3 linked regions of the Arabidopsis thaliana genome follow. The protein of the gene in region 2 interacts with the protein of the main gene of each other region in a pairwise test. Each region holds a gene or a part of one and is shown on either strand. Other genes may lie near its edges.

The links.
Region 1: the proteins of NAC089 (region 2) and AT1G64150 interact in a two-hybrid assay, tested with the Arabidopsis thaliana proteins (one large-scale study listed by BioGRID).
Region 3: the proteins of NAC089 (region 2) and AT5G49540 interact in a two-hybrid assay, tested with the Arabidopsis thaliana proteins (one large-scale study listed by BioGRID).

Annotation. Positions count from the first base shown.
Region 1 is NC_003070.9:23,810,802-23,814,554, forward strand, and holds the start of AT1G64150 (Uncharacterized protein family (UPF0016)), read right to left. Parts: upstream 1,925-3,753; 5' UTR 1,779-1,924; coding exon 1,609-1,778; intron 1,512-1,608; coding exon 1,427-1,511; intron 1,191-1,426; coding exon 963-1,190; intron 866-962; coding exon 812-865; intron 719-811; coding exon 657-718; intron 545-656; coding exon 476-544; intron 398-475; coding exon 346-397; intron 1-345. Other genes in the region: DIR5 (Disease resistance-responsive (dirigent-like protein) family protein), read left to right, coding at 3,262-3,753. UniProt on the Arabidopsis thaliana protein: Mn(2+)/H(+) exchanger, which transport Mn(2+)from the chloroplast stroma into the acidic thylakoid lumen. Might be a chloroplast-localized Ca(2+)/H(+) antiporter. Regulates Ca(2+), Mn(2+) and pH homeostasis. Required for chloroplast development.
Region 2 is NC_003076.8:7,376,128-7,379,880, forward strand, and holds the start of NAC089 (NAC domain containing protein 89), read right to left. Parts: upstream 1,650-3,753; 5' UTR 1,372-1,649; coding exon 1,170-1,371; exon of another isoform or gene 990-1,169; coding exon 736-989; intron 570-735; coding exon 339-569; intron 253-338; coding exon 1-252. Other genes in the region: NIT4 (nitrilase 4), read left to right, coding at 3,274-3,436, 3,518-3,697. UniProt on the Arabidopsis thaliana protein: Transcription factor involved in plant cell division.
Region 3 is NC_003076.8:20,104,340-20,108,092, forward strand, and holds AT5G49540 (Rab5-interacting family protein), read right to left. Parts: upstream 1,940-3,753; 5' UTR 1,646-1,939; intron 1,287-1,645; 5' UTR 1,271-1,286; coding exon 1,173-1,270; intron 1,075-1,172; coding exon 879-1,074; intron 769-878; coding exon 749-768; coding exon of another isoform or gene 739-748; exon of another isoform or gene 496-738; coding exon 465-495; 3' UTR 142-464; downstream 1-141. Other genes in the region: BLOS2 (biogenesis of lysosome organelles complex 1 subunit-like protein), read right to left, coding at 2,363-2,662, 2,734-2,817; AT5G49555 (FAD/NAD(P)-binding oxidoreductase family protein), read right to left, coding at 3,072-3,201, 3,284-3,350, 3,441-3,561, 3,655-3,734.

The sequences.
Region 1 (3,753 bases), on a different chromosome or scaffold from region 2:
AAGACTATGCTCTGTACAATATGATCCAACCCAAAATGAACCATAAACCAGGCTTGAAAACCAATCAACATCTTCATTGTTAGACCAGTAACTTTTTCTACATAAAAATCCAAACCCAATAGAGCCTGAAACTTATAAACTTCATGACAATTTTAAGACCCTTCGAATCGAAAACTGAACCAAAACCAAAACAAAACTCATAACAAAAGGGTTACAGCTACATTTGGTTTCACTTGGTAGACATCATATACTTAGGAAGATATACTTGCTAGACATAAGAAAGGTCCAAACCAAGCACCCGTGGTTAGTACGACTCTGCTAAGAAAGGTGAATAAAGAGATTTACCAGAAGACAAACTGCTGCAATATCATCTATAGGCAAATCGGTTCCACCAAACCTGTGTTCTCAAGCATTGACGTTCAGCATCATCATGGAACTTAAACCTGCTTAATAATTTTTGCCAGAATACTCAAACCTGAATGGAAGAACTTCATCGACATAGTGGAAAGTGCGTCCAAGCACTACAGATATTATCGTCATTATCCTGCAAAATTACCAAGTTTTATAACGTTGCTCTACAGATTTCAAAGTAACATTTGGTTTCAGACAAGATTCACGGACCATAATAACGCCTCTGTTTGAGAAAGAAAGCATACCCTAGAGCGCCAAAAGTCCCCACGAATACGGTAGCAGCAGAGTTCCTTGCTGCTAAAAGGGCCTAACCAACAAACATGAAAACTTATCACAATCAACAGAATCATTGATGACAAAGAGAGTTTCTAAAGCGTAGATTAACATCTCAAGATCATACCGCAATGAAGAAAGTCTTGTCTCCAAGTTCAGAGAAAAAGATAAGCAAGAAAGCCTACACAGACATAGACAGAGCAAAAAATAAAATTTAAGAGTACTGGAATTGAAGAAGAGATAGTTCCCGGTTCTGTGCAAAAGGAAGATTCTCTAACCGAAGCAAAACCTGAGCTAATATCTCCAAGGTCTCCAAAAGAAGTGACAAGTGACTGTGTCACATTGGGAATTGACGAAGCTGCAAAAGCTGGATCAGTGCCTAGTAATGCAACCGAACCTGATACCGCCAAGAACATAAGAACTCTCTGAATCTCTCTTCTTGAGTGAGCTATCGATGACTCAACCAGAACATCAAGATTTCTATCATGCTCTTCAGACTCAGCTTTCTGAACAAAGCAAACACAACAACTTATTCAGCTTATGCATTTAAACACATTCTCTCCACTATTGTTCAACCTTAAAATCAATCATCATTATAATAAACCTACATTACCATTTTAGGTAAATCCACACAGAACAAGCAATTCAGAAATCTCCTCTAGGCCTTAACAGAATCTCATCTAAAAAAATTCAAAAATCTACCAAAAGAAGATTGGTGGAAGGTAACAAAAATCAGAATCACCTCGAGGTAACAAGCCGCATCGTTTCGTTGGAAGCATCGAAAACCTAGCTGCTGAGATTCATTTCGACGCAATTGAGTCAAACATCTGCACAGAATTGTGAAAAGACGTAAACTCCTACATGGCTACATTCCATTCGCATAGCAAATTCAAAAGCCGATGAACAATCAATTATCAAATTTACCTAGAAAAGTATTGATTACGAACCGAAAACCCGATCGGAATTGGATAAGCGGAGACGCATCTCCTCGACGATGAGGAAGGAGAAGAAGAAGTAGAAGAAAAATCGGATTTGGGAGGCCTAGGGTTCTGGAATGGAATGCGAAGCGACTCCGAGAGATTCAAACTTAGCATTTCTTTCCTGAGGATTTTGTATTTCGCTTCTTCTTCTTCTTCACAGTGTGATTCTTCTTTACTGCGAGCAAAAAACCTTTGGCTCTGTGTTGTTCTGAGAAGATAGTGAAAAAAATCCACAAAACTAGAGTTATTCGCGCGCGTCCACGTAGTAACAGCGCACGTGTGGGAAAAACTCAAGCAACTGTTGAATACACGTGACGAGTTTCGAGCCTATATATCATATTGGGCCAACAATAGGCCCGTTTTCGTTAAAATGCCTTCGCAGATAAGGCTTTTTAGGACAAACTATTTTAGTATTTTTCTTTTCCTTCGTTTGTTATCATCTTCACAGTTTGTCAACATTCAACAATTTGTCTTTTTGTTTACTATTGTTCTGCTTTTCTTTTGTTTCACGATATTATTTTTTAAAATGTGAATAGTTATGTCACATTTGAAATTCTGCAACTTGATTTGCTTTATTGGCTGCCGAATGCCAATGTTCTATTAAGTCGGCGAAAGCTTAGCTTAATTAAAAAAAAATTGATGATAAAACGGTTACTTTTACAAATGGACTAGATTATCATTAAGAAAAAAACATGTTTGGTATGCAAATTATATTAGCCATAGGGTACTTAACAAACTAAAATTAAAATTTTCAACGTGACTTTTACCAATAAAATAGATGACTCTACTTTTAGTTATAGAAAAAAATGATATGATTTATATATAATAAAATAAAATAAAATCTATAACGATACTTTTTAGCATCATGCTAATGGTCAGTGGCAGTTTGACATAAATTCATGTAAAATTATAAGTTATTGGAAAAACTCCTCATGCTCTTTAGTTTTTATTATTAGTGCTCCACCAACCCATCATTAAAAGGCCAAATTACATATATTAGTAGTTCTGAAAGACTATACATATATATATTATTAATGTCCTAAATTTAGACGAACAAGTAGATTATTCATTGATTCAATATATATGATTTAAAGCCATGAATTGCATATTTAACCGATTTAATATCTCTTCTGCTTTTGAATTTGTGCTGTTTTAGATATTATTGATGAATTCGTGCAACTCCAGCTTAAGGTATGTACAAGCTTTAAGCTTATGTAGTCTTAAATCAAATATGTATTATATATACTAATTTGTTTTAGTACTTCATTCGTGTTATTTTTAACGATTTCTCCACTACTATAACATTTTGTGGAAAGTTTTGAAAGGTGATTGAGCCGCCTACATGGAAAACTTTCAGATATTCATGGTAAATGATCTCACTTTATACACATCAACAAAACTTATCACCAACCTAATATAAATAAATATATAAACAAGAAACAAGAGAGAAGAAGTGAGCTAGTCCACTTTGTTTATACTTAATATTAACACGGACTAGTAACCCAAGTTGTATATAAACCCATCACTCCTTCTTTGTCAATCTCACTCTCTCATTATCCACTCTCACATTTTCATTTAAAACACACATATTTTCAATATGGTAGGCCAAATGAAATCGTTTCTCTTCTTATTCGTTTTCCTTGTTCTAACAAAAACCGTCATATCAGCTAGAAAACCATCCAAATCGCAACCAAAACCGTGCAAAAACTTTGTCCTCTACTACCACGACATAATGTTCGGTGTCGACGACGTGCAAAACGCGACTTCTGCAGCAGTTACCAACCCACCGGGCCTCGGGAATTTCAAATTCGGGAAACTCGTTATCTTCGACGATCCTATGACCATAGACAAAAACTTTCAGTCCGAACCTGTGGCAAGAGCTCAAGGGTTCTATTTCTACGACATGAAGAATGACTACAATGCATGGTTCGCGTACACACTTGTGTTCAACTCGACTCAACACAAAGGGACGTTGAACATAATGGGAGCAGATCTCATGATGGTGCAGAGTAGAGATTTGTCTGTTGTCGGAGGGACAGGTGATTTTTTCATGTCTCGAGGGATTGTTACGTTTGAGACCGATACCTTT
Region 2 (3,753 bases):
GTATAAACCCACGAAGCAGCTCGACAATGATTCCGTGGCGTCTTTTCCTTTCTTCTTCTGTGATGGTCTTTCCTCTAACAGTGATGACATTTGTTTGTCTATCATGTTTGGTAAAGGAAGTACCCTTATCTCCATTGATGCTGATTCTAGTGTTGGCACTTCGTTTGGTGTGTTCCCTGTCATCACCGCTTCATCGAGATTGATGATTTCGTCTCTTAGGATATCCGCAAAGAAATCCTCGTCATTATCCACCTAAACCACACACACATAACATTCATTAAGAAGAACGACAACAATCAAGAACCATCATACAACAATTAGAAGCCAGGTGACAAAACCTGTAGATTTTCTGATGACTCTGCCATCTCAGCGAGTAGTTTCTCCCCTGATTCACCTGCTAGGTAAAAATCAACCAAGTTGTCCCAATCAGACGGGCTCCCTGAACTCGTAGCGCCATTTTGGACTTTCGCATGCTTCTCGGCTGATGAATTTGGCTTTGGTGCCTTCTGACTTGTACCACTATTGTATTCTTTGTTCCTCCTAACCCGGCAAACAACCATAGCATCATCCTAGAATTTACATAAACATAATCAATCAACTCAAGCCAAAGACAAAACTCCTAAAATTTTACTGTATTCCTCTTAGAGACTCAAAAAGTAGCCAAAGTCACCACCTCTTATGTAATGGTTAACAATTAATCTATAAGAAAAAACAAACTCTCGAGAACAGTTTTACCAGAGATACTCCTTTCACGCAGTACTCGTGCATAATCCAGTCAGTTCTTTCGCCTTTTGGTGCACGACCAATATGGAAAACAAGCGTCCTCTTTGTTCCAATGACCTCAGAACCAGACTTCACATCACGCTCTTTCCCAGTTGCTTTCCAGTATCCCATCTTCGTTGCTCTCCTGTTCTGTGAACCATGTGGATACTTTTTCCCACGCGCACAGAAGAAGAACCACTCGCTATCAGATTTCACAATCGACTTATCTGCAAAGAACAAACACACAAAAAAAATTGTCAATTCCAATCCAAGAGCCAAAAAATAGAAACTTTATATCTTAGGCACCCAAAATAGAGATCTCTCCTGAAGCCTGAAGAACAACAAAATCAAATTCCAAGTAGAAGAAAGACACAAAAGAATCAATTGGTTCGAATTCGAAGACAAACCGGGTAAATCCCAAGGCTCGAAATTGTAAATCTCAAGGTCCGGTATAACCTCAACGGACCTCTCCAAGCCATCCATCTTCCGCTTCAGGTAATACGAAATCAACTCCACATCCGTCGGCGAGAATTTAAACCCAGGAAACACCGTCGACGCTTCCATCGACGCCGCCGTATCCTTAGAAACTCCAACCGCCTTCGTGTCCATGAAGGCTCGCGCGTATACAACAGTCGCCACAAAAAGAGCGCGTAAGAAATCGGCCACCGCCCAAAGAGTAAAATCCGGGAATTTTCGATAACCTGAAGGATTTTTCTTCTCAGTGTGGTCTCTTCTCACTTGCTCAGGGAGCTTTTGAATTGTTATTGGAACACTTCACAGGTGCACACATATGGGTTTTTGCATACGTGTTGCCAAGGCATTGCTTAATCTACGTGTGCATGCCACGTCACTAAACCTAGTTATATTATAGGTTTTATTTCATTTAGACCCTTAATGTTTTTACGTACTCCCAATTTACGACTTATTGTTTAGTGTTTTCAGATAAAGTCCCAATATATATCCGAAATCTTACTATCGATCAATCGCTCACAATTATATATCCCAAAATATCTTGTTCAGGATCTCGTAATCAACAAGCGTTACCTCAAAGTTTTTGTTGATTTGAAGCTTAAGGGTTAACCACTTATCATTACAAGAAAACTTATCCTTCTTGATGGATTTCAACTGCTCCACAAGACTTTCCATATAGTTAAGTTTAATCAAAAACTCATGTTCAAAAAAGCTAAACAAGAAAGGTGAATTTTCGCAAATCTCCCTCCGTAAAACCTCGTACGTCTTCGAAATAGTATTAGTAGTAAAATCTGTGGACTATGTTTCTGTGTCAAGGTACGACAGGGAAAACGAAATGTATGAGTGAACTTTATTGTTGTTTCCATGATGAAATGGGGTTACAAATTACGATCAAATTATACTCAAATCATTATTTGTAAAAAAACTAAAGTGATATTAACGTGGTTAACTCTGTTCTGTTAATTTTTTTGGTGATGTGAATCCAAAAATTACTTTGAAAGTTTCTCGTACAATTAAAAGTTTAAAGTTGATGATGAACGGAAACTATAAACAATCATAACAAGAAATTCTCCAAATTATTTCAGCAACAAATTTATATTTTGTCAAGATCAACAATGATCGATAACGATAATATGATTTAAGAGTTTTTTCATACCAAAACTCTTTAGAATTAAAAATCCTCCTTTCATAGGCCTTTGAACTAAAAAATAGAACTCTTCAACAATATTTTAGTCAAAAGCTAATGATACGTGAAAGAGTTCGATACCTTTTATAACACCATCCAAGGATATAGATCAAGTCTAAAACTAAGAAAAGAGATAAACATCTAATCTTCTAATCCTCATACCTTCGAAAAGTAAACAATAATTAATATTGAATGCTAACAAGTAACAACCAAAATATATAAACAAACGCTTTGTTTGGTTTTTAAGGTTGGTTTGTTATCGAGGGGGTATTTTATCTTTTGAATTTTGTAAAAAATCTATAAATATAGGTGATGATTTTAGAAAAAAATGAGGATTTTTTTACACATTTTGGCATTTCCCCCTACAGTTAAAAAGAGAGTAAAAATCAAAATATATATCATGTGTTGTACAAGTAAACACCTACCAACCAAGCCCATCAAGAAGATACTACTACTAGAATCACTCATTTCCTCTATATATCTTATTGGTGACAAACTGACCAGTCACCAATAAATGTCTCTAGTCACGGCGGCTCCTCCGGTCAACATCGATCAAATCTTTCCCGTGGTTGACGTATACACTTGCGATTCTTCCTCCATCGTACAATATGCATGCATATAAATACCAATATAGGTGATGGTTATTGTAAATGTTTTTAGAGAAAATGAGGATTTTTTAAACCCATTTTTCCCTTCACTAAAAAAGAATCGACACACAAAAAGAGAGAGTTTATAAAATACACGATAATATCAAAGTTAAACACACACCAACCAAGTAAACAAGATACAACACAATTGGAATCTTTCTTCTTTGACAAAAAAAAAAGGAATCTCTCTCTTTCTCTGATTCTCTCATGTCCATGCAACAAGAAACGTCTCACATGACGGCGGCTCCACAGACCAACGGCCATCAAATCTTCCCTGAGATTGACATGTCCGCCGGCGATTCCTCCTCCATCGTACGAGCTACAGTCGTCCAAGCCTCTACAGTCTTCTACGATACTCCCGCCACGCTAGGTTCGTTCCTGTTTTCTCGATTTTTGATTCACTATGGTTGGTGAGATCGCTTTCGATGCCTTATCCACGAAATTTTGTCAGATAAGGCAGAGAGACTGCTTTCTGAGGCAGCGGAGAATGGATCTCAGCTAGTGGTGTTCCCGGAGGCTTTCATCGGTGGATATCCACGTGGCTCTACCTTTGAATTGGCTATTGGTTCTCGTACCGCTAAAGGACGAGATGACTTTCGCAAGTACCATGCTTCTGCCATTGATGTTCCTGGTAATAAAGTCCTCCACCATATCTCCGATTATGTTCTCACTTTTTTTCTTTCGATT
Region 3 (3,753 bases), about 13 Mb from region 2:
CCTTTTTGAAATCAAACAACCTTTTTTCTATTACTCAACTAGAGTTGGTAAGACAAGCCACACCAACACAGGAAAATAAACATAAGAAGCAACAAAAGAACTATACAATACACATAGACGGCTAAGTTCAAACTTGACAGAGAGTGTTCTAATGTTCTCTATTGAAATCTTAAGCATATTCGAATATATTTTACATGCAAGAATGTAAAAAAAAAAGAAAACAACAATGTGAACACATGAAATTGGAAGAAAGTGTAAATACTTGAAACTTTTCAATCTAAAGGTTTTCACAGTTTGATGTGATCTCAAATAACAAAAAAAGGTAATACGAACTCATAAACTGTTGTTCAAAAAGGGAACAAGAGAAACATTGTCAATCTAATTCAGTTTAGATGAAGAGGCTGCAAAACCCGAACTCAATCTTGTGTGCCGTTTCACCATCCTCATCTGGAGCAGAAGTTCCCTCAGAATATGTGCACCAAGTCATACGCAAATCTACTCCATTGTTAAGGAAACCTACTGAGACAAACAGAGAATAGAGAGAGCTGTTTTCGAGTTGCGCATATACTTGATTCTACACGAAGTAAACAAAAAGGCCATTTCTATGTTAATCACAGGTTCTTAAGAAGCTAATCATTTTTACCTACACCATACCATAGATGTTTTTCCATAAAGCTAATCAACCTTTGATTTAGTTTTGCACATTATCATAAAATGAGTATGACCACCAAATTGAGTTTAAGGATACGTCCAGAACAGCACAAACGACTGCGAAAAAGAAAACAACACCGCGATTAGTATGAGATTAACAGGTTGGATCAACAACATGTATCTTGAAGCAACAAACAATGTAATAAGAAAAGGAAATGAAGATATACCATAAGGCCACCAAGAAAACCGTCAAAAAGAACCCGATTCCACGAATCAAAGTACAAGTCAGCTGAGAATCCTGCCTTAGCCATGAGCCCAACAGATGTGATCAACATCACCACAAAGTAAAATACAAAACCAATCAAGCCATTGAATCCAATTATTCCTGCTAAGACACCAGCTATGATAGACAGAAACGTCCGGCTGCAAACACGAACAAAATGAGGGATAACAAGTCAAAAAACCCGAGAACCATCATCTTTTTAAGAAAACGAAAGAGAGAGAATTGTATTGAATCAGACCTGTTTTGAATGACTTTCAAATTGTTCTGCAAATTCTCTGCACTGAAAGTTGGTATGTCACTCATGATATCCTTTGATCTCTTCTCAGATGAACCCATTTAAGATAACAACAATCTGAAACAACATAAATTTCAAATCTTTGTATTGGATTTTACATTACAGTAACAAAAAAGGAAGAACTTGGACATCATAGAGTAAGTGTATAGATTACAAACCCAAAAAAGTATTGATTTTAAGCAAATTTCCACAGGAAAATTAGGGGTTTCTAATTGATTCAATGATTCTATAACTGGGTTTCGCTATCTAAGCATCACAATAAATTTCGATTCCTAAAGGTTAAGACTTTATGATTATCTCTTAAGTAGTCGAGAGTGGGAGCAACTATGATTAATCGATCTGGTTTTATCGATCTCTTCCGATCTACTACTTTGAGATCTACACAAACTTTGGAAAAGGAATTGATATAGACTTACAATTAGAAACGAGAGTAGTAAGAGGAAGATCGAAGTAGCTTGCTTTGGTACTTGGGATGAATTGAATGGAGAGGATGAGCCAATTTGAGAGAGAACAATCAGACGAATATCTTTAAGTTCTTTAGAGTGTTTTTAGACAAAAGAAAAACACAGAGAAAACAAGTAATATATAAACCGTAAAATCGAACCGGAACCAAACCTTAAACCGGATTGTCCACTACTAATCAAAATTAACAACACTCTCCAACTATGCTAGTTAAATTTCTTGATATTGAAACGGATAACATGATTATACATCACAATTTGTGATTATGAAAATTCGTTACTTACTACTAAAGATGAGCAGTTCAGTTTGTTCCAAGTTTTGGTTTTATAAAACCATCGCTATTACATTCAAACTGAAATTAATTCGGTTTGGTTTTGTTTGCTTAGGAGGTTTTAATATGTTTAACAAAACACTTAACCAATGCATTAGTAAGTACGGTAAATGGTTATATATGGAGTAGCGGTAAAAAAAAAACTTAGGTGCTTTTCGTTTGGTTTGGTTCCAGATTGATTTATGCAAATTTCAGTTTTGGTTAAACTTAAACCGAATGTAGACAAAATCATTCGTCGTATTCGTATCTAGCTTCAATATCAACTAAAACCAAAATAGCATTCCAGATCTCGATTCCAACAATCTCAGTAATGATAAAAATTAATTATTGCTACAATGCATCAGTCTGTAACAACAGAATCATTAGAGCGACGCTGATGATGAGGATGACGATACTCAGCTCGGATTTTAGATTCTAGGACAGAGACATATCGATCTAGAACAGAGATCACAGCTTCAAACTCCGACACTTGTTTCTCGATAGCATCCATTTGTCCTACAAATTCATCCAAGCCACCACTTTTTGATTTCATCTGTTCTGCGAAAACTCTGAGCCCAGCTGCCACGTCACCCATATCATCGTACTCTGACGCAACTCTCAGGTTCATCTTCTCCAATAGATCTAGATGGTTGTTCGTTCCCTATTTTTATCCAATTCAATTTCAGATCTGTGGAAACAAATAAATCTGTAAAATTTCGGATTGATTTTCACCTGGAGCTCGGATTTGACCATAGATGAAACACTCGTGAATAGATTTTGTAGCGATTCAGCTAGATCATCTCGTGAATCCGCCATTGATGAGGATATTTACTTCTTTTCGCAAAGACAAAGACAAAGACAAATAAACAATGGCTCTTCTGTTGTTTAGGGCACTTTCCATATTTGTTGAATTAGTGATATTTAGGTTAAGCTACACGTGGAGGCTTATTATTCGTTGATATCAACTATTGTCCATGTCTGTAAGCCTCTCCCTACGACAGAGGTTTTCAGAGCAGTAACAAACAACTTACACATGAGAGTTAACATTGCACAGTCTGAGATTATACTCGCTAGATTCTTTTCAAGTCTTGAAGAACAACATGTGCAGCGTTTCTTCCAGGTGCACCCATAACTCCGCCTCCAGGATGAGCTCCGCTGCCACACAAGTAGAGACCTTTCAAAGGGCTTCTGTAATTTGACCTGTTTCACACAGTCCAACAAAGTTTTGAATTTCATAATCATAAATCGTAAAGACTGTTTTGAGTACTTCGGAGTCACGTACCATCCTTTCACAGGGCGCATCAGGAAGAGAGAGTCTAATCCCATGGCACCGTGAAAGATGTTTCCGCCTGCAGAATACAAATGGGCAGTCATGTCAATATGGTTTGGCCATGTCGCATGTACTTGGGATCTTTCTCCAAGTACTTCACTTTATATACCTGTTAGACCAATTTCCCGTTCCAGGTCCGGAGGAGTCAACATGTCGTAGCTAATGATGGATGAGCTAAACCCGGGTGCATATTCATCAATCAGTTTGAAACACCTTTGTGCAAAGGCTTCCTGATTTTTACACAAGCAAAAGCAAATCCAGATGGGTTTGGCATGTCTTGTAGTGTAAAGGAATGTTTAGCCAAGCGTGTATAACAAACTAACTCGGTAAGTAGGATCTTCCCAGCTTCCATCTGAGGGCTTGTAAGGAGTGTACTGGATGAACAAGTTGATTACATGCTTCCCTACATACAAAATCACATT